7 linked regions of the Mus musculus genome follow. The protein of the gene in region 6 interacts with the protein of the main gene of each other region in a pairwise test. Links are inferred from orthologs where the notes say so. Each region holds a gene or a part of one and is shown on either strand. Other genes may lie near its edges. The genes, in order: Csf2, Fuca2, Unc45a, Trim42, Chic2, Meox2 and Cib3.

Region 1 (4,444 bases), on a different chromosome or scaffold from region 6:
GACGTGAGTCTTGACTCTGGGGCCTCTGCTTTCCTCTTAGCCACCACCCTGCCACACGCTTGGGCTAAGACGAATGCCTTTAGTTCTTCAACATGGCCATTCTGGCCCCCCAGTCTCTCTTTCTACATGATTCCTGTGGTCTTGTCCTGAGTTCCACCTGTTATCTGACCCTCGAAAGCCCTCACTTCTGTCTGGTTTCATCAGTCCACTGAATCAGCTTCTTGGGCCCTAAAGCATGTTTCTTGGCTAGGGGCCCCCTCTCATATCAAGAGGGCACCGCCAGAAGCCCAAGGGTTCTCACAAAGCAGGCAAAACAAGTGTGGCTCATGTTAGATGCACCCTTATGTAAAACCTCCTCCACCTTGACATGTTCCTATGAGTACATATATATCCAACACCACCAGCATACACACATGACTGAAGAGATACACATATGTATCCCCATGGTCTCAAACTTCCTGTATAGGAAGGCTTGGGCCAGATCCCTTGGGCAAACACAAACTCGTGCCGTCTTCTCCAAAAGCCATTGTGAAAATCAAACACTTGTTAGCCCCTTGAGACCATGCTGCCTTTCCAGAAGCAGTTCCTGATTCCACAGAGAGCTTCTGGAGAGGGAGGTGGGCTGGAGCAAGGGGCTGTGCAACAGACTAAGCCTGGGAGAACTTGCCAGGGAAGCGGGGGTTGGGGCGCACGTGTGTGTGTGTGTGTGTGTGTGTGTGTGCGCGCGCGTGTGCGTGTGTGCGTGCCTGGTTATTGTGTTACAGCTAGTTACTATGTTACAGCCAGCCTCAGAGACCCAGGTATCCCATAATGGTACAGATAGCAGTAATGTGTCCTTTTTGAATGGCAGGCTGCTCTGAAGAGGGTAAAGAGGCTCACATAACTCAAAGGAAGAGTCGCTTGGCAAAGGGGGAGGGCAGAATCAGCAGTCAAATGGGAGTAGCCTTACCTGCCCCAGCCAGAAGCTCTAGCCATGCTGTGAATTTTTAGGATTGAACATGCCTTTGTAACTGGGATTGTAGCAGTCAGTTGGGATGGTATCATAAGAGAACATGGTATAGTCTGCCTGGCTTCTATACCCATTGCTGTCATTCTCACTGCTCCCAAGGTGGCAGGGGTGGGGCTTGGCTGGGCAGAGTTTGCCCAGAATGGTCTCCTCAGTGGGAGTCTGTGGAGACCATTATAGAATTGTGTCATTGGGCTGGACCTTATTTAATTAGATAATGAGGTGGACTTGTGAGAAGTGTATATCTCAGAAGGTGGCTGGAAAGAGAACGGGCCAGGACTGGGGCTGGAATGAGCCACCAGAGTAGGTAGAGCTTGCCCAAAGGCCTCCAGGAACAGCAGGTGCTATGGAAGCAAGAGCCCCACTCAGTATCTCCCAAACCCCGCCCCAGCCACTCCAGGCCAGGAAATCCAAATATGCCTGGAGGCCCCTCAAAAAGGAGAGGCTAGCCAGAGGCTGGGTCAGACTGCCCAGGCAGGGTGGGAAAGGCCTTTAAAGCAGCCCGCAGGTGGGCTGCCAGTTCTTGGAAGGGCTTATTAATGAAAACCCCCCAAGCCTGACAACCTGGGGGAAGGCTCACTGGCCCCATGTATAGCTGATAAGGGCCAGGAGATTCCACAACTCAGGTAGTTCCCCCGCCCCCCTGGAGTTCTGTGGTCACCATTAATCATTTCCTCTAACTGTGTATATAAGAGCTCTTTTGCAGTGAGCCCAGTACTCAGAGAGAAAGGCTAAGGTCCTGAGGAGGATGTGGCTGCAGAATTTACTTTTCCTGGGCATTGTGGTCTACAGCCTCTCAGCACCCACCCGCTCACCCATCACTGTCACCCGGCCTTGGAAGCATGTAGAGGCCATCAAAGAAGCCCTGAACCTCCTGGATGACATGCCTGTCACGTTGGTGAGTGAGGGAGAGAGTTGGGTTGTTCCCAGGCCACCCATTGGCCCTTGTCTTGCCCTGCCTTTCAGCTTGGTAACACGGCACTTCCTTTTTACAGAATGAAGAGGTAGAAGTCGTCTCTAACGAGTTCTCCTTCAAGGTAAGCTGCTTCTCTTTTGCTCTTCTCTTTTGGTGTAGCTTCCCGGGTTGCCCTGCAGGGCTGCTTTAAATAGCCTCTTGCAAGGCTTTCTACACTCTTCCCTGCCAGTGGCTGCCAGCGGGAGGGGGCAGAATCTGGGTAGTCAAGATCTCTATATCCATTCCTCTGTAGCAGTCACGTGCACTCTTTTATCGTCCAGAGCCATGCCCCTGTGGCAGTCATGTGCACTCTTTTTATCAAGTGAGCAATAAGTTTGGGCAGAGCTAGCTTTCAAAGGTCAGAGGTCTTCAGGGATTGATGGGAGCATGAGAGTCACTTTATGAGTTGGCCTTGTTGCCTTCAAGTTCTCTCTGTGCCCCGTGACCATGGAGAGAAGGTATTGATTATACAGGGGCACAGAGGGTATTGATTATACAGGGCACAGAGGGGCTTTTGAAATAGTGCTTCCCCACACAGAAGTTTGGGCTCTGGCCATCTCCTTCTTCTAGAATGGCAGCAAGTAGCCTTTGCTTACAAATTTTTTTTTTGGGGGGGGGACAGCACTTGGAACTGGGAACCTCTATGGTACCAGACTATAAACATGGCTGTGGTAGCTGAGGTGGCCTGGACCAGGCAAGAAGAAGGGCAGTGCTCAGGACAGTGTTATGACTAGCCCCAACCTGTACCACTTGGTGGGAGCAGAAGGGAGTAGGGAGAAGTTAGCTTGTATTCTATGGACACTTGGCTTTTGCTTATCAACAAATGGATGCTTCCCACAGAAGCTAACATGTGTGCAGACCCGCCTGAAGATATTCGAGCAGGGTCTACGGGGCAATTTCACCAAACTCAAGGGCGCCTTGAACATGACAGCCAGCTACTACCAGACATACTGCCCCCCAACTCCGGTGAGTACACAGCATCAGGGCCCCAGGTCTTAGTCTGGGAGGGTGCGGCCAGTAAGGAGAGACTTCTGGCTGTAGCTGTTCAGGGCCCCAGTAAGTGGTTTCTGTATTGTTAGATGTTTCCTAGGAGCCCCCCAAGAACAGGCCATAGCTCCTATTCATCCCTAGACCCTAAGCTGAGAAACAGCAGAGAGCCCACTGCTCTTCCTAGGAGGAACCATCTGCCCATGTCACACATGCCATTGTCAGTCATGAGGTCAGAGGTGAGGCAAACCCAAGGAAGCTCAGGGCCTGCCCAAGCCCAGGAGAGCCAAGAGCCAGCACCCAGATGCCACTTCCTGGCAGGACTTTCCTGTAAGGATGCCTGTATTCCATGGATACAAGGAGGAGGCTCCTAGAATGGGCAGACACCCCAAACATTCCTATTTCCTTTCCTCATCAAAGACAGTGAGCCTTGTGTCTTTTTAGAGGTGAGGAGATGCCTCAGGCTGGTTGCTTGCTTCTCGGTGGGAACCAAAGAGGCAGACCTGAGACAGTCCTTCTGTAAGGGCACAGTCCCTGGGTGCCATTGGCAGAGCTGTGCATGCCTTAGGCAGCACACGGGCAGCTATAGTGTCACCTGATCCTTACAAATGGGCTTCTGGCCTCTGAGTTCTCAGCAGCGAGAGAGAAATACACAGTTCTTTCCCCACGTGGCCCACTTACCTGGACTCAAGTGCTGTTTATTTTTTTCCATTCCCTCCAGGAAACGGACTGTGAAACACAAGTTACCACCTATGCGGATTTCATAGACAGCCTTAAAACCTTTCTGACTGATATCCCCTTTGAATGCAAAAAACCAGGCCAAAAATGAGGAAGCCCAGGCCAGCTCTGAATCCAGCTTCTCAGACTGCTGCTTTTGTGCCTGCGTAATGAGCCAGGAACTTGGAATTTCTGCCTTAAAGGGACCAAGAGATGTGGCACAGCCACAGTTGGAAGGCAGTATAGCCCTCTGAAAACGCTGACTCAGCTTGGACAGCGGAAGACAAACGAGAGATATTTTCTACTGATAGGGACCATTATATTTATTTATATATTTATATTTTTTAAATATTTATTTATTTATTTATTTATTTTTGCAACTCTATTTATTGAGAATGTCTTACCAGAATAATAAATTATTAAAACTTTTGTTTGTATAGTTATCTGGTTTATTTTGAAAGGGGAGAAATTTGGGCATAGGTGGAGTGGGGGAGCTATTGGGATATGGTATTGATGAGAGTCAATGCTGTCATGGCCAAAGGGAGGTGAAATCAAGGCCTGGGTCCAACATCAGCCTGGGTGGGGGATCTCACAAGCCTTGGTGGAACTTCTGGGGTGCTCAAGAGCATCTGTCCCAGAGAAAGGTTCACCAGGAAGTTGAAGTAACCGGTTCACAGACATGGCTCAGAGAAGGGGTGTCATCCTTTCTAGGAACTAAGGGACTTCTGGAGTTGGTGGACAAGCGTCTAAACAAGAGAATCCTAGCATTCAGCAAAATA
Region 2 (4,546 bases), on a different chromosome or scaffold from region 6:
TATAGATGGACAGATGGACAGAAAGGAAAGTGCAACTATACTATACTCACTATATATGTATGTATACACACACTCACTCACTCACTCACTCACTCACTCACTATACTCATTCTCTTCAACCAGCTTTAAATAAATCTAGTTATTTATTTAAATGATGTCTAAATTAGGGTTTCATTGCTATGAAGAGACACCATGACCAAGACAAGACTTAAAGCATTTCATTGGGGCTGGCTTACAGGTTAGAGAGAGGTTCAGTCCATTATCATCAGGACAGGAAGCACAGCAGTTTCTAGGCAGGCATGGTGCAGGAGGAGTCCAGAGTTCTACATCTCCATCCAAAGACAGTCAGGCGGGACTCCTCTGCACTGGGCATATGACCTCAAAGTCCACCCCAGCAGGAACACACTTCCTCCAGAGAGGCCACATCACCTAATAGTGCCTCTTCTCATGGGCTAAGCATATTCAAACCACCATAAATGGTTAAATGTGTACATAGAAATTGTGTCCATCTTTCCTCTCATTCTGTGAAACCAGCTGTCTGGATCCATAATGTTTCCAACTTAAGCGGAAACATCACTATCCACCTATGGCTATTCTGAGAAACCGGGTTTCACAGGACGGCCTTCCTTTAATGTCTCCATCCAAAAGAACGACCTTACATTTTCTAGCCCTTGTCAGCATATATCCTATGTGCCCTACTTACCTTCGTGATGTTTAGAAGTGAAGACCACATATTTGGCACCAGAGGCCTGGAGAATATCTGCCCACTGGTTTGCATTAAAATACTTGGCTGTAAATAGCACTACAAAATCTTCATACTTAAAACCAGGAGCATAATTATTGTTCATAAAGTCCACAAACTGGGGTTTCTTCTCCTTTTGCCAATACCACCTGTGGCAGAAAAAAGAAAGAGCACATGACCACACAAACACAGATGCTTAAAGTAATTCCTGGCTTTACCCAGCCTAGTATGAAGAATATGCACAGATTCTCTCCGCTTCTCTCTGTCCTGGTGGGTTTGCATTAAGGACAGCTTATGCAAACTGAATCTCTGGCCATATTCTCTGTCTTTTCCTTTGTGTAGTCCTCCTGTAACCCAGCCACCGATTCTCCAAATTCCCCACTTTAAGTCATGATATCATCTTTGCCTTCACACACTAGCTCACTGTGGAACTTAAGTGGCTAAGATTTCAAGACAAGACGACATACCTAAAACATAACTTGCATCGGTCCTAGTCAGTAACAGAAAACATTTTGGGTAGATAGGGAGAAACATTTCCAAGGGCCGGGCAGTTCCCACAGTTGGCACGGCCTTTGCCTGCCTGAGATTAGATTCAAAGCCCTCACAGGCAGCAAGCAGCTTGTCGTCTATCAGACCCAAAGTCACATGCCTACTTCAGAAACATCCCTCACCGCAACCCATGCTGGCTGGTGGATCAGACAGATAATGGGATCTCCTAGTGAAGAGAGAAGCTGGCTTTCAGGTTAGCGATAGTTAAAGAGTGAACAAGTTTGTGTTGCCTGTCTACCGTCATGTGACTATGAAGATACTGTGGGGTAATATATCTCTATTATTGCCCCTTTGCTCTGCTTTGGGTTTTTGATGCTTTAGCATTCAAGGATCTTCACGTCATAGCTGAACCAGGAAGCATTTATTGTAAATTTTCTGATTTTCTTTTTAATTACATGTGTGCGTGTGTGTAGGCGTGTGCATGTGAGGGGGGGGCTTTGGGAGCACGAACCCCCCCCCCCGGAACCAGAATGACCAGATGGTTGTGAGCCTCCCAGGGCGGGTGTGAGGAGTCAGACTAAGGTCCTCTACAAGAGCAGTGTCTTAGTTAAGAGTCTTACTGCTGTGAACAGACATCATGACCAGGGCAGCTCTTATAAGGACAACATTTAATTGGGGCTGGCTTACAGGTTCAGAGGTTCTGTTCATTATCATCAAGGTAGAAAGCATTGCATGGTACAGGAGGAGCTGAGAGCTCTACATCTTCATCTGAAGGCTGCTAGCAGAATACTGGCTTCCAGGTAGCTAGGATGAGGGTCTTAAATCCCACACCCACAGTGACACACCTATTCTAACACGGCCACACTTTCTAATAGTGCCACTCCCTGGGCCGAGCATATACAAATCACAAGCAGTATGGGCCCTTAACCAGTGAGAAATTTCACCAGCCCTTTTGAAAATTCTTCAAATTCTGGGACTGGTACTCCCTCAATCACGCAGGCATTGCCACTGCTATAGGGAGGCCCACCTGCAGAGTGCCTAAGAACTCCGGTGTGAGTTTGTGTGTGTGTGTGTGTGTGTGTGTGTGTGTGTGTGAGAGAGAGAGAGAGAGAGAGAGAGAGAGAGAGAGACAGAGAGACAGAGAGAGAGAGACAGAGAGAGAGAGACAGACAGAGACAGAGACAGACAGAGACAGAGACAGACAGAGACAGAGAGAGACAGAGACTGCCACTGTCTGGGGTGACATAAAGCCCAGTGTGAGTGTGTGTGTGTGTGTGTGTGTGTGTGTGTGTGTGCGCCCGCGCGCGCGCGCGCCCGCGTCCGTGCCCGAGCCCTTTGGGCAAAGGTATGCACTTACCAGAACCATTCACTACCAAAGCTGGGCACGGAGAACACTCCCCAGTGGATAAAGATGCCGAACTTGGCCTGGTCGAACCAGGCTGGCAGCGGGCGTCTGTCCAGAGATTCCCAAGTGGGGTCATAGCTAAGGGCTCTCGTGACCCCCCAAGGCCTCAGGAGCGGCAGCAGCAGCAGCGGCAGAAGCATCAGGAACCCCAGGCGCATGCGCGCCAGCCTGGGATCCTCGGGGGAACCGCCAGTCACCAGGGAAGCCGGGAACCTTCTCTGTCAGCCGCAGAAGCTGCCTAGCGCTGGCCTTCCGGCTTCTGCTAAGTGTACCCTGCTCCTGTCACCTGACCCAGACCGGTTTGGTCAGATGACTACTGTGATCTGGAGTAGGGAGTGGCCAGGAGTTTTAATGAGCTCTGGTTACTTAAGGACCCCAAGAAGGTTGCATTACTCAGGTGCACAACCAAGGAAGTCAGTTTTTGCCCACCCTCCTCATTTTTAACAGCCCTTGGCTCTGTTTCCCAGTCAGATCTGATCTACTTAGCCAAGACGCCCGGTTTGTCTGCTGTGAGACAAAAACCTAAAGGATGGTCTTTGACCCACGACCTCCCTCCCCAAGGACTCCTAACAGAAAACTCTCAAGAGGTCACCTCGACCACCAGGCCCTGGTGGCTTTATGTGTCAGAGCTGTCTGCCCTACCGTGGGACTGGAGCCTGAGACAGGAACTTCGTGGGCTGCTCAGGGCTTTTGAGGAAGCTCCCATGGCTCTCAGCCTTTGGGTCTGCCTCTGCCATCCTCGAATTTGTAGCCGATGAAATCCCAAAGTTTGGGTTCAGCCAATCTGGGTTCGGGTCCAAGATTTTACATTTCTACTCAGGCTCTTGTTATTTCTGACTTTGGTTGTTGGTGGAACAAACTTTTCTGAGAAACTGCGTTAGGAAATAAGGCAATCTTAGTTGAATGAATGTTTAAGAAGTTTGTATAGAAGGAGGGTTTGGGAACCTGCTGGGGTGGCTGAGTGCTTGCCTAGAATGCAATAAAACCAGAGTAGTGGTCAACACAGCAGTGTGGAAACAGAAACAGGAGAATCAGAGTTCAAGGTCATCTTCGACTACATAGAGAGCTACATGAGACGCTGTCTCAAAAATCAGGAAGGAAAAAAAGGAGAGGAAGGAGGGTTGGAGGGAGGAAAGGAGGGAGGGAATGAAAGTACGATCTGGGAGCCGTAGTTCAGTAATAAATGTCCTAGAGCTGTGTGTGTGTGTGTGTGAGAGAGAGAGAGAGAGAGAGAGAGAGAGAGAGAGAGAGAGAGACGGAGACAGAGACAGAGAGACAGAGAGAGACAGAGAGACAGAGAGAGACAGAGAGACAGAGAGAGAGGAACCTTCAGGTAGACTTAAAGAAAAGGAGCCAGTCACTTAGAATAATCATCAAAGTTACATCTTCAGGAACTGTATCCTAAAGTTATTTAAATGCCATTGGCCTAAAGCCGGAATCTCTACTGCTTCCGCTTTGGCAAAACCCTTATCCTTTTGTGGTACATTTCAAATGCCACCTCCTCCAGGATGCTCTGTGCCATAACCACCCCTCCCCCAATAACATCCCACTTCCTCCCAAGTGCCTCCATAGGACACCGTATCCTAACCACTAACACAGGAGTCCACAGGTGGTTTCAGAGTTGGCTGGCTAGAGATCCCAATCGCCTTAGACTGTGAGTTCCTTAAGAACACTTACAATCTCTTCCTGGGTGCCATGCTTTTCAGGGCAGCAGAGCCTGGCACAGAGCAACACTTACAATGTGTTTTCTGGAGTTGTCAGTGTACTGCAGTTCTCCTTGCTGAATGAACCAAGACGGAAGTGACACTAAGTAACTGTTGCTTGTGGTTCCCTCTTCTGCACAGCTAGGAGCAACAGAAGCCACTGTCTCCCCACATGTGTCTCACCAGGACCCCAGCACCACCATAAGA
Region 3 (4,408 bases), on a different chromosome or scaffold from region 6:
AGGGCAGGAAGGTTTTGAGGTAGCTGCTAACACTTCTTTTTGGTGTATGTGTGTCTGTGTGTGTGTGTGTGCGCGTTAAAACAGGTATTTCTTGGAAAACCTCTTTAACCCCATTCTTTTCTTCCAATGTTACCATTTTGATAAACACAACACACACACACACACACACACACACACTTTTTTCTTTCTTTTTAAATTAGCCCAGGCTGGTCTTGAACTCACAAAGATCTGTCTGCTTCATTCAGCTCCTGAGTGCTGTGATTAGAGGTATTCACCACCAGGCCTGGCCTTTAGTGGACATTGTTTTTTGTTGTTTTTTCAAGACAGGGTTTCTCTGTGAAACAGTCCTGGCTGTCCTAGAGCTCACTGTGTAGATCAGGCTGGCCTCGAACTCACAGAGACCTGCCTTTCTCTGCCTCTGGGATTAAAGGTGTGCACCACCACCCCTGGCTTGATGTGCATTCTTAACAGGCTTTTATTTTTATTTTATTTATTTAGTGACAGGGTTCCTCTGCATAGCCCTGGCTGTCCTGGAACTCACTCTGTAGACCCTGCTGGCCTCTAACCCAGAGGTCCGCCTGCCTCTGCCTCTCGAGTGCCAGGATTAAAGGCATGCGCTACCACCTGGCTTTTAATGTCAAGCTTTACTGACATTTTTCATTGGACTGTCACGGATTCAGCCAGATATTCTCAGACAGGCTCCACTGTTTGGATCGTTCCCTCATGAACATAGTACTTTCCTACTTAGATTACCGCATATTTTGCTTTTCCATCTACCAATCAGCAGAGCCCGCGTCTAGTCATATATGATCCATTTCTCAGAAACAGCACTGACCTAGTCTGTTTAGGTTTTTTTTTTCTCTTCATTGCTGGGCATTTAGGCAAGTTCCAAGTCTCTCTTACTATAAACAAGGCTGAAATAAAAGTCAGACGCCTGAAATTCCAGCCCTTGGGAGGTGTAGGCAGGAAGTCAAGGCTATCCACAGCTACGCAGCCAAGTCCAGGCCTAGCCTAGGTTACATGAAACCCTGTCTTAAAAAAGTAAAACTAAAAATGTTTTTGGAAGCAAGAGAATCAGGGGTTCAAGGCCAGCTTCGGGCAGGTAGTGAGTCTAAGGTCAAGAGGGGCTAACTAGATCATCAGATATTCATTTACAACTTTGATATGCTAAAGCACTACAGCCTAACAGAGCCAAATCACTTCATACCTTCGCCAGGTACCGTAAGAGTCCACGCACCCACACCACTTACATACAAGGACAAACTTATACATACACAGAAAAAAACATGCTTTAAACTTGATTTCCTCCATCAGTCTGAGCATTATTAATTAATGTGTATTTGTTACCAGTAGCTCCTCTCTGGAGTACTGTGTCTACATCCTTGTCCCAGACCCAGGCAACTCCAACTTCTCTTGGTACCTTCACATACCTTCTCCTGAATCTGGCCCCCAATGTTCCTCAGCGACTCCTGGAAAACTTTGTTCTTGGGTTCTAGGCTCACACATCTCTTCAGGTCAAGGACAGCCTGGTCCAGGCGGCCCAGCTTCTCTAGGGCTTGGCTTCGGCGATAGAGTGCTTTGACATCCCCACCGTCCTTTTCAATGGCTGAGCACAAACAGGAACTCTATCAGCACCCAGGAGGCCACCGTCTCCAGGCAAGAGCAGTAGGGATAGATCTCGAGGGCCAAAGGAAGATAGGGGTACGAATGTGGAGCTCGGTGCTTCAGCCTCAGAAAAGGTGAGGGCGGCTGCAGAAAAGGAAAGGCCGAAGAAGTGGGAAAGCAAGTAGAAAGACGAGTGACTGGGTCCAGAGGAGGAGAAAGGGATGGCTCGGTGGCCCCAGAGTCCTTTCCCACCACAGAAGACCCCATTGCTCCATATGAGGACCCACACCCACCCTACCTTTAGACGCCTCTGATTCTGCTTTGCTGTAATCTTCCTGTAAGAGAAAGATCAGGAGCCTGAGAGTGGCAATGGCACCCTTGTTTTGCTGAACCACCTGATCCCCCACTACCCACGCCTAAAGACCTCTGGCAATCGTGCGTGGCTAGGAAATGCCCAACTGGTGCACAAACAGCAGCGGCTATGGGCAATCCCAGGCCCAGGTAGAACCAGGTTAGAGCAACCCGATCCCCTCACCAGCTTGAGGTGGCAAGCAGCCCTGTTTCGGTGCAAAATGGCCTGGTCCTGGGGCGTCGCGCCGAGACTCAGGGCCTGTGTGTAGGCGGTCAGGGCGCCCTCGTAATCCCCGCATTTGAACAGCTCGTTGCCCTCCTTCCGCAGCTGCTCGGCTGAGCTGGCCTGGAGAGAGAGAGAGAGAGAGAGAGAGAGAGAGAGAGAGAGAGAGAGAGAGAGAGAGAGAGAGAGAGAGAGAGAGAGGGAGAGAGAGAGAGAGAGAGAGAGAGAGAGAGAGAGAGAGAGAGAGAGAGAGAGAGAGAAGAGAGAGAGAGAGAGAGAGAGAGAGAGAAGAGAGAGAGAGAGAGAGAGAGAGAGAGAGAGAGAGAGAGAGAGAGAGAAAGGCGTTGGGCAGAGCAGCGCGCCTGGGAGAAGAGCCGGGTCTTGGCCGAGTCCCGTGAAGGGCTAGAATAAGGTGACGGCGACCAGGTGCGAAGGCGCATGTGTGAAAGGGGAGATGGCACAGGAGAATCAGTACGCACCCCGGGGTCGGAAGGTCGGGGCTCGGGGGTCTCCGGGCCACTCACAGTCATCACGAAGCTAAGCTCCAAGAGCCAGTGCAGGCGCAGTCTTTAGAGCAAAGGTGTCCCTGGGATCCGCGAGATGCCGGCGACTGCCCCGCCCCAGCAATGCGTCAGTGTTACGCTAAACAAGGCGAGGCCAAGAAGTGGTTGGGTCTGTGCAAGGGCGGGGTACTCGCGTTGCGCAGGCGCAGGCTCAGGCTCAGGGCTGCTTCACGAGCGCCTAGTCTGTTCCCACTGGAACCTGTAGAGGGCGCGCGGAAGAGGCTCTAAAGGAAAGGCGGCGGCAGCCGCTGGAGTTTTGTTTTTCTCTCCGTCCCCGACCACGGCAGAAGTGCACGAAATCTGTAGTCATCAGTGCCATCAGCAGTAGAGTGTAGATGCCCAGTGCTAGGAGCGGGCCTGGACCCCTGGGGAGACAGGAGAGACTCAAGGTTGTCTACTGGCTGCTACAAGTCAGGGTTTGCAGAGCCCAGAGTCCCACGAGAGCAGGGGATAAATACAGATGCATACACATATTTTGCATACAAATCTGGGAGCTCGCAAGTACCTTGAAGACAAACGCGGCAGATTCAGAATTAAACCTCCTACTACAATGTGTCCAAGATTAACAAATCCTCTTTATTAACACCGTCCAAACCCCTTAAGACAAAGCAGCTTCTGTTACTTGTTTTCATTTACAGCATTGGTTGTAATTATGATTTAGTGACTTCCTCTCCACTAATCTGGAAGCTACAAGTCTCCCACTGCAGAATTCAAGGACAGTGCCCAAGACACGGGAGCACTCTGCCAGTGTTCTGCGAATCCGGGACTAGAGTTCTTACCTGAGGATGGGTGGTGGCTGAAGCGAAGACAAGTTAACTTGGTACAGGGCCTCAAATTCATCCAGGGTACAGCAGGAACCCCCGGCAGCCTGCAGGTGGCAACAGTAGGCTTCCTCGGGAGTGTCAGAGAGGCGCGGACAGAAAAAACCAGGGTAGTGGCCGCCTTCTGCATCCCGTGTAGTCTGGCACAAATGGGGGTGGTGAGCCAGGGCTGGAGAGAAGCAAGACGTCTATAGAGAAGGGAGGTTACCCACATCCCCTTCACCCTGCTCAAAGTGCAAAATGGGGTCCAAGTCCCAAAGAGAAGAGAAGAGGAGGCTCTCTCCACCCCTCACCATCAGATCTCCCGTACCCCAAGTCACCCTCAGAGGATAGGGAAAGTATTATACCTGAGAGGTCGGTTGGCTGGGCAAGATTCATCCAACTGAAAAGCAGTCCCCCACACAGGCCTGTCAGCAGGAGCCCTGGACCTCTCCCCTGGAGGCCCATAAGAAGTCGCCTCCACCTCAGTCGTAGTCCTAGGAATCCAACAGGGGTTCTAAGCCCTGGCTACAGACAAGAAGGAAGCTGAAATTAAAGTCCCAAGATTTGCAGGGGTGAAAACTCCTCTATTATAAGCTTGTGGAGAGATGAGAGTGATTGGGTCCTATCATCTGCTGGGAAATGTGAGGCCTTTGGCTCTAAACTGCCTATGATTTCCTAAGCAGAAGGGAGGAAAGGAATGCCAGGAGAGAAAAAGTTGAGCCATTGTCAAAAAGGAAGAAAGAAAGAAAGAAAGGAAAGAAGAAAGAAAGAAATGAAATGAGCGTGTGAAGCCAACTGTGTTTCTATCTACCCATTCCTCAATTTCTAGGCTGCACGGACACCTTGGGGGATATGGATTATTC
Region 4 (4,269 bases), on a different chromosome or scaffold from region 6:
GATCATGGGAAGAGGTAATAAATTATTCACTAAACTCCCACAGCCAAATTCAGCTCTCACTTCTGCTGTTTTTTAGAAATATAATGAGACAGCGGTCCTGTTCTAGGACGGCATGGCCGTGAGACCTCTGCTCCTTTAATCTTTGCAAGCTGTATGAAGGGGAAAGCAAGACTTCCCCTGATTGATAGGGCGCTGTTTCTAGAGTTCCTGGGTGCACACTGGCCGAGTAGCTAATGATTCTGCACCTCTTGATAAATGAATGTGGTGGGGTGGGGTGGGGCTAGGGTAGGGTGAGATGGGGTGGGGTGGGGTGGTAGGGTAGGGTAGGGTAGGGTGGGGTGGGGTAGGGTAGGGTGGGGTGAGATGGGGTGGGGTGGGGTGGTAGGGTAGGGTAGGGTAGGGTGGGGTGGGGTGGGGTAGGGTAGGGTGGGGTGAGATGGGGTGGGGTGGGGTGGTAGGGTAGGGTAGGGTAGGGTGGGGTGGGGTAGGGTAGGGTGGGGTGAGATGGGGTGGGGTGGGGTGGTAGGGTAGGGTAGGGTAGGGTAGGGTGGGGTGAGATGGGGTGGGGTGGGGTGGTAGGGTAGGGTAGGGTAGGGTAGGGTGGGGTGGGGTAGGGTAGGGTGGGGTGAGATGGGATAGGGTAGGGTGGGGTGGGGTAGGGTGGGGTGGGGTAGGGTAGGGTGGGGTGGGGTGGGGTGGGGAGGGGTGGGGTGGTCTAGGGCAAGGGTACAGAGGAGAAGAAAACAAAGTCTGAGTCCTAAACCTGTGGACGACTTAAGCATAAAGCCTCGTGATCATGAACTCTGAAGGGACATGAGTGAGCCTGTGTCTCTGTCCCTTCAGCCCCTTTTCTGAATAGTGATGACCCTTTCACTGTGATGGCGCCATTATTTGTAAACATTGTGCTTTGCTGGTCAGAGTTCTGCTGACGGAAGAGGAACATGGTGTCAGTCTGTATGTCTAATTAGTCACACCCCGGTCTTTCAGTCAATAAAGACAAAACAAAAACCAAAAAAAAAAAAAAACCTGAATTCAAGTTACCCAAATAGCAGTAATAGTACCAACCAAGGAAAAACAGCATCTAAAATCCATGTGAGCACTTGAAACACAACAGATGGCCGCTAAAGCCTCCAAGAGCTCCGTGGTGCCACCACTCCTGTGACATCAGTCTCTTGAAAAACACCCAGTATGTATCCCAGCTACCACCCCTGGGTGCCCTCCTCTTACCTACTACTGAGCATGTGAAGACATGGTGGGAGTCAGGGATTATGACATAAGCAATGTCCACAGGCTGAAATAGGTAACGCCAGCTCAGAGGAGGACCACCACCTGTGAAGGCCTCATAAACTGGCCAACTTCCTGCCACAATTCCCAAACTGCCAGCCTCACGAGAGTGGGCAAGGGTCCCTTTGGGAGAGAAGTGGCCACAATAATCTGGTAGAGAACATTGTCAAAACTCTAGAGGCCTTGTACCAGAACTAGGAGCCATGGAGACGGCTATGTGTGTCTGTTCTCCCTGCTGTACCTGGCAGAGATGCTGCCCCCGGCTGTTCTCCTGCCTGTGCTGCAAGTTCATCTTCACCTCCGAGCGGAACTGCACCTGCTTCCCCTGCCCCTACAAGGATGAGCGGAACTGCCAGTTCTGCCACTGCACCTGTGCAGAGAACCCCAATTGCCACTGGTGCTGCTGCTCCTGGGCCAATGACCCCAACTGTAAGTGCTGCTGCACGGCCAGCACCAATCTGAAGTGCTACTACTACGAGAGCCACTGCTGCCGCAATGTTACCATCACATTCAGAAAGGGTCGCCTTCGAAGCATCGTCACCTCGTAAGTACTGCATGAGTGCTGGCCATCCGTCGTTTGGCTATGTTGGCTCAAAATAACTGGAGAACATGTGCCAGCTGTGGGTACCCCAGAACAGGCCAGTGCTTCCTAGAGTATACTCTACATGGGAAACAAAAAAACAAACAAACAAACAAACAAAAACAATGGTAATTTTGTAGCAGTTAAACAGCCAAGTTCCTTTACCGATGTGAATGCATGCTACATGTACCCTTTGACCCCAAGAGCTCTCACCTTGCAAACAAGTGATGGCCCTCAAGAAACTTTGCCAGCCACTGTTCATGTATCCATCCCTCTCCTCACTCTGTGCCAGCTGGACTCAGGAAAATATTTAGCTGGGAGATACTAAGTTGCCCAAGACTAAGCAGCTAGGAAGGGGGTAGAGTCATGACTTGAATCCAGAGCTAGGGCAAGGGTCCAAAATTTAAAAAAAAACAAAAAGTCATGACAAAATGGAGACCCTTATATGGTATAGGCTCCATAGCCTGTTAGATGATCTGAAAAATATAAACTGTTCTTCATCCCCTTCCTGTAAACTGCAGCATTTACCAGGTGAGTACGGACTTCTAGGAGCCGCTTTTGACCATAGGTAGCAACCTACAGAAGTACCCTGAGCTGACAGCCACCCTTTCTTTCCCCTCCAAAGTCATGACTGTCAGGTTCTCAGTCACTCAGTAAAGTGGCTACCCCACAGGCTAGCAAGCTGCTCTTTTTAAGTCACATGTCAGGGACATCAGGAGCCAGGGGAGATTTCACAGGGAAGGGAAGATCACAGCTAGTGCTTTAGAGTCGTAGACATCAGCAGCTCCCAAATTCAGAAGTGCATATAAATCCCCTGGGGACCTTTAAAAATAAACGCTCCTGCATGCTCTCCACACCTCAGCATTCTCTTTTCCATTGATCTTGGGGTACAACGTGGGCTTCAGAACTGTAAGAACTCGATCCCCATCCGGTGATTCTAACAGGGAGAACTGGAGTCATCAGCGTGGGACCTAGAGGCTTGGAAGGCAGATGTGAGAACGAGCAAGACTTAGCAGGGAGTGGGCTGTGCAGTGGAGCAGAGGCAGGGCAGGAAGGCAAGGCTGTGGGCCTTGGTGGCTGCTTTAGCATGGAAATCTGTGGGCAGCAGACACCCTGTTTGTACTTCAGTGCCAGGCAGTCAGCTCTAACGTACTGGTGCTTGCCTTCCAACCCCCCTCTCCTGGTCTCCAAACCCCTTCCCTCCCAATGCTGTTCAGTGGCCTCACTTTTTCTTCACTCTGGTCTAATCTAGCCTTCCTGGATTCATTCTTTTCCTCAGTCCCTTTCTCATAACTACTCCAGTTCCTCGGGCCATTAACAGAGTTCTCTTAGCCCTGCCCATTCTCCACACAGTATCTCCTTTCTCCCTCCTTCCCTCTTTCTGATCGCTTCTACTCCCTCCATGTATTATACACTGACTCCAAGTCTTACTTTTCTTATCAGAGAAACTCATCTAGGTACAACATGTACTCTTGACTTGTGACTTCAGGTGACCCTTCTGGTACTAAGCAAGAGGCTTGGACACAGAAAAGAAATAGGACCAAAAACAGTGAGGCTGTAAGCCTAGATCTCAGCATCCAAGACCCAGGGATAAGCCAGCTCTCAGGTTGCCTAAGGTTATGCGGAGACACTGTATCTCAGGGCCACCCTAGGAAGCTCCTTTGACTGTCAGTGATCTGAGGCATGGGTTCCTTGGCCAAGAAGGAGACAAAGAGAAAGAGAAATCAGAAAGGGAAGGGGTCAGAAGAGAACACTGCCCAATGTCAAGTCCAGGACCTTACTATGAACAGAAAGACTCGAGAATAGCCAAAGATAGTGCATCGGCTTGCATCTCCATTCCCACAGCAGAGTCGCTTCTTTCCTAAACTGCTTTTACTCTGATTGCAGCTTCTCATACCATGCACTTGAATTGCACAAGCATAGTCTCTTCATTTGTAGTTCTTGCCATTGAATCCATGAGGGTGACCTCCAGTAGACAAATAGAGACCCTTAACTCACAATAGTATAAGCACACATGGGCCTTCACGAGCTTGGCTACTGTTTCCTTCTCTTGCGGTTTCCTCCTCTACTGTGGACATTAGCCGGTGGATAGCGCAAGAGGGTGATTACAGGGACCATATTTACACTGGGGATGGATTATTTTCATTTACACTTTGTAAACCCCCAGGAAGGAAGTGCTGCAATCTTTGATTTACAGCTGGAGAAACTGAGCACAAAAGAGATTAAGACTCTCTAAATGGGTAACTCTAAATGTGCCATGCCCTGCCATATATAAATTGCCCAGAGGCAGACCCTTGTGTATTGCTGTTGATCTGGAAGTCAGTTCATGGCTTCTAGGATCAGCACAGAAATTGTCTCTTGCTGTCTTAGAAAAGTCATTTACTACCTTCCTCTGGCCCATCCCA
Region 5 (3,771 bases), on a different chromosome or scaffold from region 6:
TTTTGGTTCAGATTGAAATAAATTGAAGCGAGTGGGTACTAGTCATTTGGTATTTAAAAGACAAAATGCAGTAGGAATTCAAAACAGTGAAAGCTAGAAAATTTGCTATTTGATTAATATATTATGCTTTGATACTGTGGTAGCTCATGAAATAAACCGTCTTTTTTACTTACATACTGTTGGTTATTTAACATTGTGCTTCATGCTTCATCATTCTATAAAAGTTTTGGTTCTACTGGGAAACTCTTTCTATGCTAATTTTGTAAGTTGCTCATTGTGATTATCTTAATGAGCAACTTACAAAAGGTATCTTAGACCTTCACTCTGTCTCCGACACTCTCTGAGGGATCCATGTTCTGTTCACACCACCTTTAAGTTAGATAGTTTAAGCATCTGTGATGTTGGCACAGTGACATATAATAACATATTTTTTCCTTTTTGAAAACAGATTTGGACTGAGCAACAAATTTGAATCAGAATTCCCTTCTTCATTAACTGGAAAAGTGAGTGTCTCTCTTATTGTTATTAATCTACTGTTTCTATATCTCAAATTATTTTCTCATAGAAATGAGTAAATGTGTGCTGAGACCCATTTATTGTCACTCAGCATCTCAGTGTTACGTTTCTTCCCTTCCTGTAGGTAGCTCCTGAAGAATTTAAAGCCAGCATCAACAGAGTTAACAGCTGTCTCAGGAAGAATCTTCCTGTTAATGTGCGGTGGTTGCTTTGTGGCTGCCTGTGCTGCTGCTGCACGTTAGGGTGCAGTATGTGGCCAGTTATTTGCCTCAGTAAAAGAGTAAGTTGAATTATGTCTTTTAATTTACATTTAGAAGTGTGAAACAAGTCTTACTTTTACCTTTTTTTTTTCTGTTTAATGAACCACACTGTTCTGAATGCTATATAGAAGTAATCTGATATAGTAAAGCAAGATTAATTAAATCATATATTCAAATATTATAAAACAGCTGTGTAACAGTCGTCATAATTTTTATACATTAGGAAATTATAGTCAAAAGGTGCAGCCCTATGTCTGTATGCATTAATTATGGACTAGAATGGTACTGTATATTTCTGTGCCCATGGACATACTTCTGAACCTCTTTAAATCTGATTGATACAGCTATAAAATAATAATATTCACCTGTGATTTGAATAGAATTGTTGTAAGGATACAGTAAAATAGTATTTATAAAGCTCTTAGCTGAACAGCTTATGAGAAATTCTGTCAGCTTCAATGCTGTTTTAAGTATAAGAGAGACAGTTTAAAGGAAGAACTGTGTACTTTGGCTCATGGTTTTAGAGATTTTAGTCATGGACTGTTACGCTGGCTCCATTACTTCTGTGCCTGACCATGCAAAACCATCATGATGGCTGAGTAGAGCTGCATGCCTCATAGTCATCAGGCGTCAGAGAGGGAAGGAGGAGATTGGAACAAGATGTAGCCCCTGAGAACAGAGTCCTTCCTACCCATTCCTCTAGATCCTATGTCTAGACATTTGAACCACTTTCCAATATGCCTTCATGTTAGGAATCTATGAGTGATTTAGTCTGTTGAGTAGGTTGTATTCCTTGTAATCCAGATCATCTTGCAGTCCACAGTCTCCCAAGCTCTACTGTCAACTGAGCTATCGCACAGCTCTCCTCTTACTTTTAAATGACATTGGTGTACGTCAGTGTCTCCTGTGCACTCACGTTCAGTACCTGAGTCTCTGTGGTCTATCCTGTCAGAGTTCCTGGAAGTAGTTACAGAGGCTAGTGGTCCTGGTTCTCTGCAAGAGCAGCCAGTACTCCCAACTCACCTCTCCATCCCCTAACATACAAGCTTTTGGAGGGAGTCCTTCAAATCTAACCCATAACAGAAGTTGTCAATAAGGAGTGACTAATATTATTACTAGTACTATGAGAGTACCCATGGAGGAGATAAAATGCTTACAGGAAAATAATATGGGTTATTTTATTTTTGTACTTTACAGTTTCTCTATAATGAATATACACTGACTCTGATTAGGAAAAATCATTGGAAGACCTAATTTTCATTGCTTATAATGAAAAAGTTCCAAGATGTTAGTTATAGATATGCCAAAATGATACAAATCAAAAGTTGGTTGGGTGGTTTTTGTTTTGTTTTGTTTTTGAAGACATTGTTTTACTCCTTGGATTTGACTGGCTTGAAACTCACTTCAGGTTAGTCTTGAACTAAGAGATCTGCCTGCCTCTGCCTCCCAAATGCTCCAGGCCACCATGCCTAACACATCACCATTGTTTTTGTTATCTTAACTATTATACTTACACGTGTGAAGTTGATGTAATATTCAGCCATGTATGGTAACTCAGGTATGAAATCCTAACACTCAGGCTGAGACAGGAGGATTGTGAATTTGCTACATAGTAAGTTAAGGCCAGCCTGGAAAACCAAAGGAGGGGGGCAGGTGTCAACCAATTTGGCTTGAATGTTTTTCTGTGGAAACATTTAATTTTTGTGCTAGATAATGGCGAGGAAATGAAGGAAATCACATTTAATTTGTTACTTGACTTCTATTATAGAGTTAGAGGTATATTTTACTGAAAATTTTTGAGCTGATTTATTGCTAGAAAGGAAATGATGCTTTCATAATAGAGTTGTATATTATTTTTTATAATATTTAAAATACTTATATTTCTCATAAACTATTTTATTATTTGTGTGTTGAACATGGGAGGTGCAGGTACCGCCAGAAGTGTTTAAAGGCCAGGGGACAACACTGTGCAGTCAGTTCTCTTCTGCCGTTGAGTGGGTTTCGGGTGGATCTCAGGTCATTGAGCTTGTGCAGCGGAAGGGTTTTTTTTTTTTTTTTTTTTGCTGGCCCTACTTTCTTAGAGATTTTTTTACCCCCCTAATTCTTGCCAGATTGCCTCTAGGCCACAAAAAAACTGTCTGGCAGTGTTTGGATTCACAGTTGTATTTTCTGATTTTCTTTAGGCTCTGTCTCTCACTGCCTTCCTCATTTCAGGCCTTGCTGTTGTCTGAGTGGCTGTCCAGGTCATATGGTTACGGTGGTGGGCTTTGTTTGTTGGATCTGGCCTTGATTTTCAGATCTGATCTTATCTTTTCCCTCCCTCCCTCCTTCCCTCCCTCCCTCCCTCCCTCCCTCCCTCTCTCCCTCTCTTTCTCCCTTTCTCCCTCCCTCTTTCCTCCCTTCTTTTACTTTTTAAATGAGTAATACAAGAGATTTTAATATGTGGATGCTATATTTAAAAAACAAAAGTGAAACCTTATAGTTCTCTATACATTTCCTGCCTTGAGTATAACTTCTCTGTACCATGTCATGAATGTATGGAGAGTACTAGAACACCTTTGTAAGATGGGAGACAAGATAGCAGGGATTTCCAACCCTCATTGTCATGGACCACTCTGCTAGTCTAATAATGCTAGAGCCTATAAATACTATTTTAGTATAACATTTAATTATTCTAAATACTACATTAATCAATATTTTAGATTACAAAACCCCAATTATATATCAAACAACTAAAATAAGGAACTGGAAAGTATTTGAAGATGTGAGAAAATGCTGTTCAGTGACTGCAATGACAACATTCTGGTAATGTGCAAGCTGCGAGGGCTTCACTAAGAACTAGGAAAGGAGGATGTCATAAAAGAAGACAAAGGCCACAGTATACTCCAGGCCCATCCACACTGGATGTCCCATTTACCTATCTGTTCTCCTCATAACAAGACTCAGGGAGAATCCAACCAAGTGACGACCCCCTTAGAGCAGAAGCAGCCAGTCA
Region 6 (4,285 bases):
GTGTTAGTCAATATTAAAACCATTTTTGTTAAAATAAACTAAGGAAGTCAGTTTTTAGTCTCACTCTCCCTGTTTCCCCAACCAAAAATAACTTGTGCCTGAAAAAAAAAAAAAATTCCTTCGTGTGCGCAAATAATCTTTAGGGCATTGGTTCAGCTAAGAAGCAGCGCAGTTTCCCCCTTGCGGAAAGAAAACACGGAATCCGAGCTTCTGGTCCTCCCTGAAGTAGATAGCAACCTGCCAAAGCAATCCATGCATTTCTGCTCATAAATGCCCAATCTGGGGAAACCCAGTGCGTTCTGATGCCTTCTTAGGAACCTTTTTGGTATCTTAGGATTTCACATACAGTTAGAGATAACCAGTAAACAGAATAACAGCGATGACCGAGTTCTTAGACATAACTAATCATGATGAAGCATCATTAATCGTTCACCCAGGACCTGAAAAATTACAGGTTCAATAGTGAGGCTGGGAAGCAAGGAGTCACCCCACACCGAGGTCAAGAAAAATTTCTATCATCTTTCAACACATTACAAAATACACAGCCCTTACTGCCCTACACTGCAGAACACCTTGCCTAAAATGTTTAAAATGCTATTATTTTTCAATTCTTCAAACTATTGCCTAGAATTATATGTTCTCTCGAGACACTAGCACAGAAAACGTAATATATGTAAACATTTTACTAGTTAAGTGACGTCTTTCTAAATCTGTATCCAGGTTGCCTTGTAACTACATAGAAGATTCAATAAAGAAAAAAAGAAGGAAAGAAAGAAAGGAAAGAAGGAAGGAAGGAAGGAAGGAAGGAGAGAGAGAGAGAGAGAGAGAGAGAGAGAGAGAGAGAGAGAGAGAGAGAGAGAACATTTACAATGAGGAATGTATTTAAGGGCTTTGTTGTGTTTCCTGGAAATTTTTAGTTTCTCTGTGCTGTCAGGATGCACTGGCTATTGGACTTCCAGGCCCCTGAATTCTTCTGGGAGGCTCCCCTTTTGTAGGACTGCTCAAGTTACCCACACCTTCCCTGCATCTTCTTCCAGCACTGTCAGGACTGTTATCTGTCCACTTTCTCCACTGCATCTCAAAGCACTACTCAATTGATGAAGGCTTTTATTTTCCACAGTCGAAGTTCAAACATTTTGTTTTGGTTGGTTGGTTGATTTGGACTTTTTGCTTGTTTCCCGTCCCCGTCCCCCCCCCCCCCCCAAACCAGGTTAGCACCATATGAGTGTAATTACTATAAGAATACTCTTTATTCAAAGTTTTCAGAGGTATTCCTTAAACACTTCTAGATTACTAGATAATTACTTTTTCGCCAAATAAATAGAATGTTTGGGGAGGGGTTGTTTGTTTTTTAAATATCATTTTAAGAAAGGTGCTATTTAAGGAACTCTGAAAGCAAAAATATTAAAAAAAAAGTTTTAGGTTTCTGTTCTTTTTCTTTCTTTAATTTTTCCTTATCTTTTTCTTTCCTTTTCCGTTTTCTTCCTTTTTTCTTTTCCTCCTCTTCTTTTCTTTTCTTTTCTTTTCTTTTCTTTCCTTTTCTTTTTCTCGTATTTGGTCAAATCCAGTTAAAGTTCAAGGCATTGCGCAATAATTTGGAAACCCAGTTAAGGATAGGAAAAGTCGAGTTGTTCAGAGTTGGGAATTGGAAGGGAAAAGTCAAGGAAACCCGCATGCACGCACACACGCACGCAGGCATGCATGCCCAGCGGATGCAGCATCCCAATGGGCACACCCCTCCCAACCCGTGGAGGGACCCGCCACGCTCCCTTAACCGATTTTGCATAGTGTCACTTGCTCTTTCTTCACCACTTCTGGAAAACTGATTTGCGATCTTGGAGGGCTTTGAACGGCTGGATGTAGATATATTAACTTCAGTGAAACACGTGCTCCTGAATTACAGGACGGACGCTCCATGGATGAACTCGCCCACCAGAGCGAGGAAAGGCTAGCAGCTTCACAGTTTGTCTTTCTATGAGAAACATCCCACACCTCCCCGCATCTTCCTAGCCCAGAGCGCACTCTCCCCAGGGTTGCTTTGCCCGCACTCACCTGAGCTGTCGCTTTTCCTTTTGCTGCCACTTCTCTTCTCTACGTCTGCGGGTGACAGCGCTTGACGGCCATAATCCCCTGGTGCGCACGCGGCCCCGGTAGGGGTGCTGGAGCCCAGGCTAGATGAGTTGGAACACAGGACCGGAGGGCTGCTTCCCAGCTCCGGGGGCCCTCCCGAATCAGGCTGCAGGCACAGGCTGTGCCGGGCCGCGCTTGGTGGAGAGGACATCTGCGGGAGGTGCCAGTTGCTTTGCAGAGCCTGGTGCTGCTGCTGCTGGTGGTGGTGATGGTGATGGTGGTGGTGGTGGTGGTGCCCCCTGTGATGCTGGCTGGCAAACATGCCCTCCTCGTTGGGGTATCCCGCGATTATGCAAGACGAGGAAGATGTGGAGAGTTCGGGGTAGGACATGTGGTCAGATCTTCCATGGAGGGCCAGAGAAGACTGGGAGAAGGGGTGCAAGCCTTGCGCTGTGGCGTGGGGGCTGCGCAGGCAGCCAAAGAGGGGGTGTTCCATGGCATGCAAGTTTCGGCTTCCAAGCAGAAGACTTCACGGACGGTCCGAATGTCCACCAAGCGCTGTCACTTTTCACTGGAAATCCTAAGACTTTCCCCCACTCACTCCAAAAGTAAAAGCCGCGCGCGTTTGCATTTGAGCAGAGCCGGCTAATCCCAGTCCTGAGCCTTAGCGGCCAGTCTCCTGCACGTATAAACACTAGGACCTGGAGGAGCTTCCTTCGCAGCTGCTCAGATGTCAAGTGTGGGAGAGGTGGAAGCCAAAAGAAGGTGGTCCCAGAGAACTGCTTTCAGGGGGAAATGGCTCTGAGAGGTTATAAATAGAGTGTAATGTGAGCTGGGGGCTGGCTTAGGAGCCCAGCGCTGACCACATGCAAACTCCCTCCAAAACTCCCGCTCAGTCAGCGCCACCGTGCTCTCTCATTTCCAGTTCCCATTGCTGGCAGGACAGGAGCCGCTGCCCAACGCCCGCCCGTCGGGCCCTGGGAGCTTCCACCACAGCTAGTGGTGCTCCCAGAGCCTCAGTCGCTCCGGGCCACCGCAATCTGTCCCATAGGTTCCCATGGCCAGACGCAGAGGCACTCAGCTTCCCTAAGCCAGCACACAGTGTCTCTGAGTAGCTCACTGCTCTTGGAACCTAGATCTCTCAGCCTTGGTGGGGGTTGGGGTCACCTGCAGGAGCTCCCTGACTACTCCCTGACTTTGCAGACCACAGAGAACTTTCAAGAGAACTTTCAAGAGAAGAAGAGCCTAGTCTGTCGAGCTTTTCAAACTCAGAGGCCACTCACGGTTCCAGCGTAAACACATTAGGTTTATTCTCTTTTAGGTATCTGAGAATAGATTGTTAGAAAACCTAGAGCCAGGGCGGAGGTTGTAGAGCTGTGCACCAAGGCTAGCACAGTGCTACTCTGAGTGCAGAAAGGACAGATATACAATGGGGTGTGCGCGACACAGAGGTGGATGTAGGCTCTGGCGCCTTGGCGACACACAAGTGTTGCTCCAAGTGGTGTCCCCCTTCCTTCTTTTTCTGACCCTCTTCCCACCCCTACTTCTCTTTACCAGTCCAGTTCGCGAAATTTTCTCACCATTTGCTCACCGAGGAAATTGGGAGGGGGGGGGTCAAGAATAACCCGAAAAAATGTCAAATGAGCAAGTCTAACTTGCTCCCAGCTTCACCCTTCCTAGCTAGCTTAACCCTGCAGGAGCCAATTCACAGCCCGCTCCCATCCTTTGAGAAATGAAATCTCTCTTTAGCTCACAGAGCTAATGCTCCTTGCATACATTCCATTCCTCACCACCTTTCTGTTTTAAGCAGATAGCAAACTTAACATTCCCTCAGCGTGGACCCTGCTATCATGGTTCATTTCCCCCAGGTTTACAGCCTGTGCTCCTGGAAATGAACTAACTGCACACCTTGCCACCAGTGAATTTGTGAGAGCAGGGGCTGGGGTTGACACAGCAATTAGCTTGGGCGGCCACAGAATCTACTGGAAGTCCTGTCCTTAACCCACAACAAGCTTGGGAGAGTGGGCTGCAGGAAAGCCTGTTCCTATCTAGGAAGTGTCTGCCAAGGGGATGTCTGCAGTAGCCTAGGGTGTTCAGGACTTGGAGTGTGCCACTATGGTTAACTGCCATATGTTTATTGTCTGGGTGACCAGAAGATGATGGCCAAGTCTTTGAAATTGCTAATGGGATTAATGAGTACAGCAACCTGAACTAG
Region 7 (4,422 bases), on a different chromosome or scaffold from region 6:
AGATTTAGGACCTTAGTAAGGAACTTAGATGATGTGAACCTTGTGTGATGAACCTCAGCAGAGTGAAATACAACTTTTGTGTGTGTGGATTCAAGACATGGTTTCTCAGTGTAGCCCTGACTGCCCTGGAATTTGTTCTGTAGACCAGGCTGGCCTTGAACTCAGATCTGCCTGCCTCTGCCTCTGTGTCTTTCTGATCTACCTACAGCCCAGACTAACTTCAAACTTAGAGACTTGCTTGCCTCTGCAAGAGGTCTGAGTCCCACCATGCCCTAGCCCATGAGTGCCCTTTAACCTTGTCCTTCCTATGTGTGCCTCTTGGAGCCCCAGTTTTCTGTAAGATGGAGGTACCCATGACCACATAGGAAAGCAGTAAAGACATTTTCAGTCTGCTTCTGCTCTTTGTCCACAGCCCAGGATTACCTTCAGCTCTGGCATGCTGCCAATCAGTTCATAGGGCACCTTCACCTTGGGACTGGTCGTGTAGTCAAGAGGCACCAACTGAGGGGCCAGGTCCTGGTATCGATAGAACAGCCTGGTATGAGGAAAGAGAAACCGGGAAAGGCTGGGACCAAGAAGCAGAAGGGATTTGACCCTCTTCTTGTGTGTTAACAGTACTCGCTCTACAAGGTCAAATGCTGGTCCCCAGAAGCCTCATGCATGAGTCTGAATCTTGAGTGCACCGAGCCAGAAAGAGCTACCCCTGTTTCCCTCCTCACAGACAAGGCCAATGTAGAGCAAGGAAGTAGAAACCAGGCAAGGAGGAAGAGCTTCCTGGAGGAAGGGACACTGGTACTGGGCTTAGAAGTAGGAGTTCACCAGGAAGATGGAGCTTGAAGAAAGAGGTGTTAATGGTTGATCATTCCACAGCTAGTGTTTGAGGGACCTGGATATATAACCTATACACTCCATCATCACCTCACAGGATCCTGCTTCTACTGCTCCTCCCCTCTGAGCCACCACTTCCTTTGCTGTGTCTACACTAGGAGGCAGGCTTCCTCCAATGGGGCAGGGGACAGACAAGCCACTAACGCTCCTATTCCTAATGCGTCTGCTCCCCAAGTGTTGGGGGTGATGGGCTTGTGCTGCTTCTGGCTGGATTTTTTTAAGGTAACATACAAAACACTGGCCAGCACACATACAACCTTTCCATACACACTCCTCACCTGCCTCCAAGAGACCATCTTTGATACCCCTGATGTCTGCAAGCTGCTAGGAACTATCTCAGGCAAGGATATCCCTGGGTTTTCTCATGACTACATACCTGAGAATAGCTGGAGAGGAGGCTCAGTTCTAAAAATCCCCTCCCCTTGTCAGGAGTCCTGTGGAGGAATGCCCTGAGTGTTTATCTTTCCTTTAAAAATATTTTTATAGTTATGTACTTATTTGTGTGTATATGTGTGCATGCTATAGCACAGGTGTCAAAGTCAGAGGACAACTTGTGGAAGTGGATTCTCTTCTACTATATGGGTTCTGGGATTTGAACTCTGATCCTCAGGTGTGGCAGCAAGCATCTTTGCTTGTTGAGCCATATTGAGGACCCACAGTTTGTCTCTCTTTGTGCCATTCAGTGAGTTCCTCTCTCCTCCCAACCTTGGTTACTCTGTTTAACAATCTGGAAGCCTGGGCCAGTCAGGACTCTGTCCATCTGCCCTGGGAACTGAAGTTCTCCTTGCCCAAGCCTCAGTTTCCCCACCAGTAATCTGATCGTGATGGCCAAAGTGACCTTCCAGTAGTCCTCACAGACAATGGGCTGATGGGTGAGAGGTGTACCCATCAATAATGGATGCCCTGTACCCACATAAGAGGGACTCGACCTGATGCCCCACAGCTGAACCGCAGCCAGCTTGGGTTTCACAGATAATGGTCCAACAGACAGAAGGGTGTCATGGGAGTTTCATCTCTGTCCATCCTGTTGGGCTCAAGCCAGGAACCTGCAGTCACCCAAGGGCTGCCAATACTCCCCCACAATCTCCTTGCCACTTACAGCTGAGGGCTGGATCTCAGCTCTGCAGTGGACTCCCAACCTCAAAGGGCCAGTGTGCCTCTCCAAGGCTCTCGCACCTTCTGTGGCTCCCTGCTACCCTTAGGTAAAAGGACAAGTTCCTCAGTACAAAACCTCAGCCAGTATGACAGGGTGTGACTTCTCAGCCAACAGTCTCTGCCTCAGTCCACTGACCTTGAGGCAACACCCACATCAAAGCATGGTGGTACAGGCTTGCAAGGCAGAGGCAGGTGGATTTCTGTGTTCAGAGTGAGCCTGATTTACAGAAGGAGTTCTAGGACAGCCAGGGCTACACAGAGAAACCCTGTCTCTCAGTGAAAGAAAGGAAGAAAGGAAGGAGGAAAGAAAGAGAAAAGGAAAACCAAGAGGACCCAATATGGCAACAACCTGCCTGATGACCTGGGTTTGACCCCTAAGACTCATGTGGTGGAAAGAGAGACTGGAAAGCTGGACCAGCTATTTAGTCCCAGAACCCACCTAAAGGGGGCAGAAAAAAAAATCAACTCTGCAAATTGTCATCTAACTGCAACACACACACTATATCACATATTCACACATTTGCACACTCACACATCACGCCCCCCTGCAATAATATTTTTTTTAATTGCAGCCAGCTACAGTGACATATACCTGTGATCCCAGCACCCAAGAGGCAGAGGTAATGTTGAGGTTAGGCTGGGCTCATTCTCAAGCAAACAAAACAGAACAATAGCAAAAAGATTGCACAAAGGCCCAGCAGTGACTAGAAAGTTGTTTTGGGGTGTCACCTCCCTTCATTCCCCCACTGACCTCATGATCTCCTTCCTCGTGAAGAAAGTACAGTCCTGTGGGGAGAGAAACCAGCTTGATCCAGACCTGCCTCTGGGTCATCTCTCCCTGTGCCCCTCTACACACTCCAAATCCACACAGACAGCCTGATGTCCCAAACAGGGCTGTGCCAGCCTGGCAGGATCCACTGCACACACCCACCTGGTATTCCTCCAGCTGCTCGTGACTAAACACAGTCTGCTTGTTGCCCATGCTGCAGACTGCAGCCTTGAATACACTGGAACTGAAATTACAGGTGGCTCCTCGGGAGCACCCGTGCTCATAATGTTTGAGCAGATGTTCCTGCCCTGGCTGTCACCTGCCCACCTATCCAGTTGGTTGCCCCAAGCTTGGTGAAGCTCAAGTTACAGCCTGGCTCTCTGGGCAACCTTTTGAATGTGTCCACAGGTGTGGAAGAGGTCTGTGAGAGGTCACAGAGAAGCCATTCTGTCTGGAACACCTTCAAGGGAAAGCCATGCACATACCCCAGTCTACATCCTAGCTTTTCCCCCCTGCTAGCTGTGTGGTCTTGAGTAATTGTCTGACCTCTCTGAACCTTGCTTGTGAAATTGAAATTACATTACCATCTATAGGATCAGTCTGAGGGTGACAGACATATTGGATGTGGCAGTGTGTGACTGTGGCTGAGGCAGGAGGCGGAGGATTCCTATGCTTGCTTCCCTCTCTGCCTCTTCTCTTTTCTCTTCTCTTCTCTTCTCTTCTCTTCTCTTCTCTTCTCTTCTCTTCTCTTCTCTTCTCTTCGCTTCGCTTCGCTTCGCTTCTCTTCGCTTCTCTTCTCTCTCTTCTCTTCCCCTCCCCTCCCCTCCCTTCTCCTCCTCTCCTCTGTCCTCAGCCTTCTTCTTTTTTTTTTTTTTTTTTAGTTTTTCGAGGGTTTCTCTGTGTAGCCCTGGCTGTCCTGGAACTCACTCTGTAGACCAGGCTGGCCTGGAACCCAGAAATCCACCTGCCTCTGCCTTTCCAAGTGCTGGAGTCAAGGGTGTGCGCCACCATGCCCAGCTTGTCCTCAGCCTTTACTCTTTCCCTTTGGCCCTGTCCCAGTCATTTCTGGGTCCCTTCTTTAATGAGGACACTGGCAGACCTAACAATGCATCACTAAGCAGAGGCTGAATAACACCTTGTGCCTCAGTTTACCTATCTGTACAATGAGGTTGTTCTGCTTAGAGGAATATCTGTGACTGTGAAAAAGACCAATCTGAATAAATCCATTCAGAGTACCAGTCATGACTGCTGTCATCTTCTCAGCATCCGTAGTTTATAAAAAAAAGAACCAGCCAGGCGCGGTGGCGCATGCCTTTAATCCCAGCACTCGGGAGGCAGAGGCAAGTGGATTTCTGAGTGAGGGCCAACCTGGTCTACAGAGTGAGTTCCAGGACAGCCATGGCTACACAGAGAAACCCTGTCTCAAAAAAACACCCCCCCAAAAAAAGAAAGAACCAGAAGCTCAGATGTTCCAGACACTGCCTCAGGAACACACAGCTTCATAGGTACGAGGATAAAGATCTCTAAAGGGGCTCACACTCATCTCTGAGGCCATGTTGCTTGGGTATCTGAGACTTTATTTATTTATGTATTCACTCATTTATACATTC

The links.
Region 1: the proteins of Meox2 (region 6) and Csf2 interact in binary tests that used the Homo sapiens proteins (3 or more experiments, as listed by UniProt). The two-hybrid records come from large-scale screens. The link is inferred for Mus musculus from reciprocal best matches to the Homo sapiens genes MEOX2 and CSF2.
Region 2: the proteins of Meox2 (region 6) and Fuca2 interact in binary tests that used the Homo sapiens proteins (3 or more experiments, as listed by UniProt). The two-hybrid records come from large-scale screens. The link is inferred for Mus musculus from reciprocal best matches to the Homo sapiens genes MEOX2 and FUCA2.
Region 3: the proteins of Meox2 (region 6) and Unc45a interact in binary tests that used the Homo sapiens proteins (3 or more experiments, as listed by UniProt). The two-hybrid records come from large-scale screens. The link is inferred for Mus musculus from reciprocal best matches to the Homo sapiens genes MEOX2 and UNC45A.
Region 4: the proteins of Meox2 (region 6) and Trim42 interact in binary tests that used the Homo sapiens proteins (3 or more experiments, as listed by UniProt). The two-hybrid records come from large-scale screens. The link is inferred for Mus musculus from reciprocal best matches to the Homo sapiens genes MEOX2 and TRIM42.
Region 5: the proteins of Meox2 (region 6) and Chic2 interact in binary tests that used the Homo sapiens proteins (3 or more experiments, as listed by UniProt). The two-hybrid records come from large-scale screens. The link is inferred for Mus musculus from reciprocal best matches to the Homo sapiens genes MEOX2 and CHIC2.
Region 7: the proteins of Meox2 (region 6) and Cib3 interact in binary tests that used the Homo sapiens proteins (3 or more experiments, as listed by UniProt). The two-hybrid records come from large-scale screens. The link is inferred for Mus musculus from reciprocal best matches to the Homo sapiens genes MEOX2 and CIB3.

The regions. Positions count from the first base shown.
Region 1 is NC_000077.6:54,246,921-54,251,364, reverse strand, and holds Csf2 (granulocyte-macrophage colony-stimulating factor precursor), read left to right. Parts: upstream 1-1,465; 5' UTR 1,466-1,754; coding exon 1,755-1,904; intron 1,905-2,001; coding exon 2,002-2,043; intron 2,044-2,057; exon of another isoform or gene 2,058-2,362; coding exon of another isoform or gene 2,363-2,419; intron 2,420-2,801; coding exon 2,802-2,927; intron 2,928-3,669; coding exon 3,670-3,777; 3' UTR 3,778-4,095; downstream 4,096-4,444. UniProt on the Homo sapiens protein: Cytokine that stimulates the growth and differentiation of hematopoietic precursor cells from various lineages, including granulocytes, macrophages, eosinophils and erythrocytes.
Region 2 is NC_000076.6:13,499,416-13,503,961, reverse strand, and holds the start of Fuca2 (plasma alpha-L-fucosidase precursor), read right to left. Parts: upstream 2,935-4,546; 5' UTR 2,795-2,934; coding exon 2,589-2,794; intron 892-2,588; coding exon 704-891; intron 1-703. UniProt on the Homo sapiens protein: Alpha-L-fucosidase is responsible for hydrolyzing the alpha-1,6-linked fucose joined to the reducing-end N-acetylglucosamine of the carbohydrate moieties of glycoproteins.
Region 3 is NC_000073.6:80,337,411-80,341,818, forward strand, and holds the start of Unc45a (protein unc-45 homolog A), read right to left. Parts: upstream 2,810-4,408; 5' UTR 2,710-2,809; coding exon 2,659-2,709; intron 2,303-2,658; coding exon 2,141-2,302; intron 1,941-2,140; coding exon 1,904-1,940; intron 1,750-1,903; exon of another isoform or gene 1,607-1,749; coding exon 1,431-1,606; intron 1-1,430.
Region 4 is NC_000075.6:97,367,063-97,371,331, reverse strand, and holds the start of Trim42 (tripartite motif-containing protein 42), read left to right. Parts: upstream 1-1,373; 5' UTR 1,374-1,487; coding exon 1,488-1,828; intron 1,829-4,269.
Region 5 is NC_000071.6:75,024,093-75,027,863, reverse strand, and holds part of Chic2 (cysteine-rich hydrophobic domain-containing protein 2), read left to right. Parts: intron 1-448; coding exon 449-503; intron 504-640; coding exon 641-796; intron 797-3,771.
Region 6 is NC_000078.6:37,107,112-37,111,396, reverse strand, and holds the start of Meox2 (homeobox protein MOX-2), read right to left. Parts: upstream 2,858-4,285; 5' UTR 2,567-2,857; coding exon 2,053-2,566; intron 1-2,052. UniProt on the Homo sapiens protein: Mesodermal transcription factor that plays a key role in somitogenesis and somitogenesis and limb muscle differentiation. Required during limb development for normal appendicular muscle formation and for the normal regulation of myogenic genes.
Region 7 is NC_000074.6:72,209,950-72,214,371, forward strand, and holds the start of Cib3 (calcium and integrin-binding family member 3), read right to left. Parts: upstream 2,889-4,422; 5' UTR 2,830-2,888; coding exon of another isoform or gene 2,800-2,829; coding exon 2,795-2,799; intron 536-2,794; coding exon 424-535; intron 1-423. UniProt on the Homo sapiens protein: Acts a an auxiliary subunit of the sensory mechanoelectrical transduction (MET) channel in hair cells. Plays a role in regulating hair cell MET channel localization and function.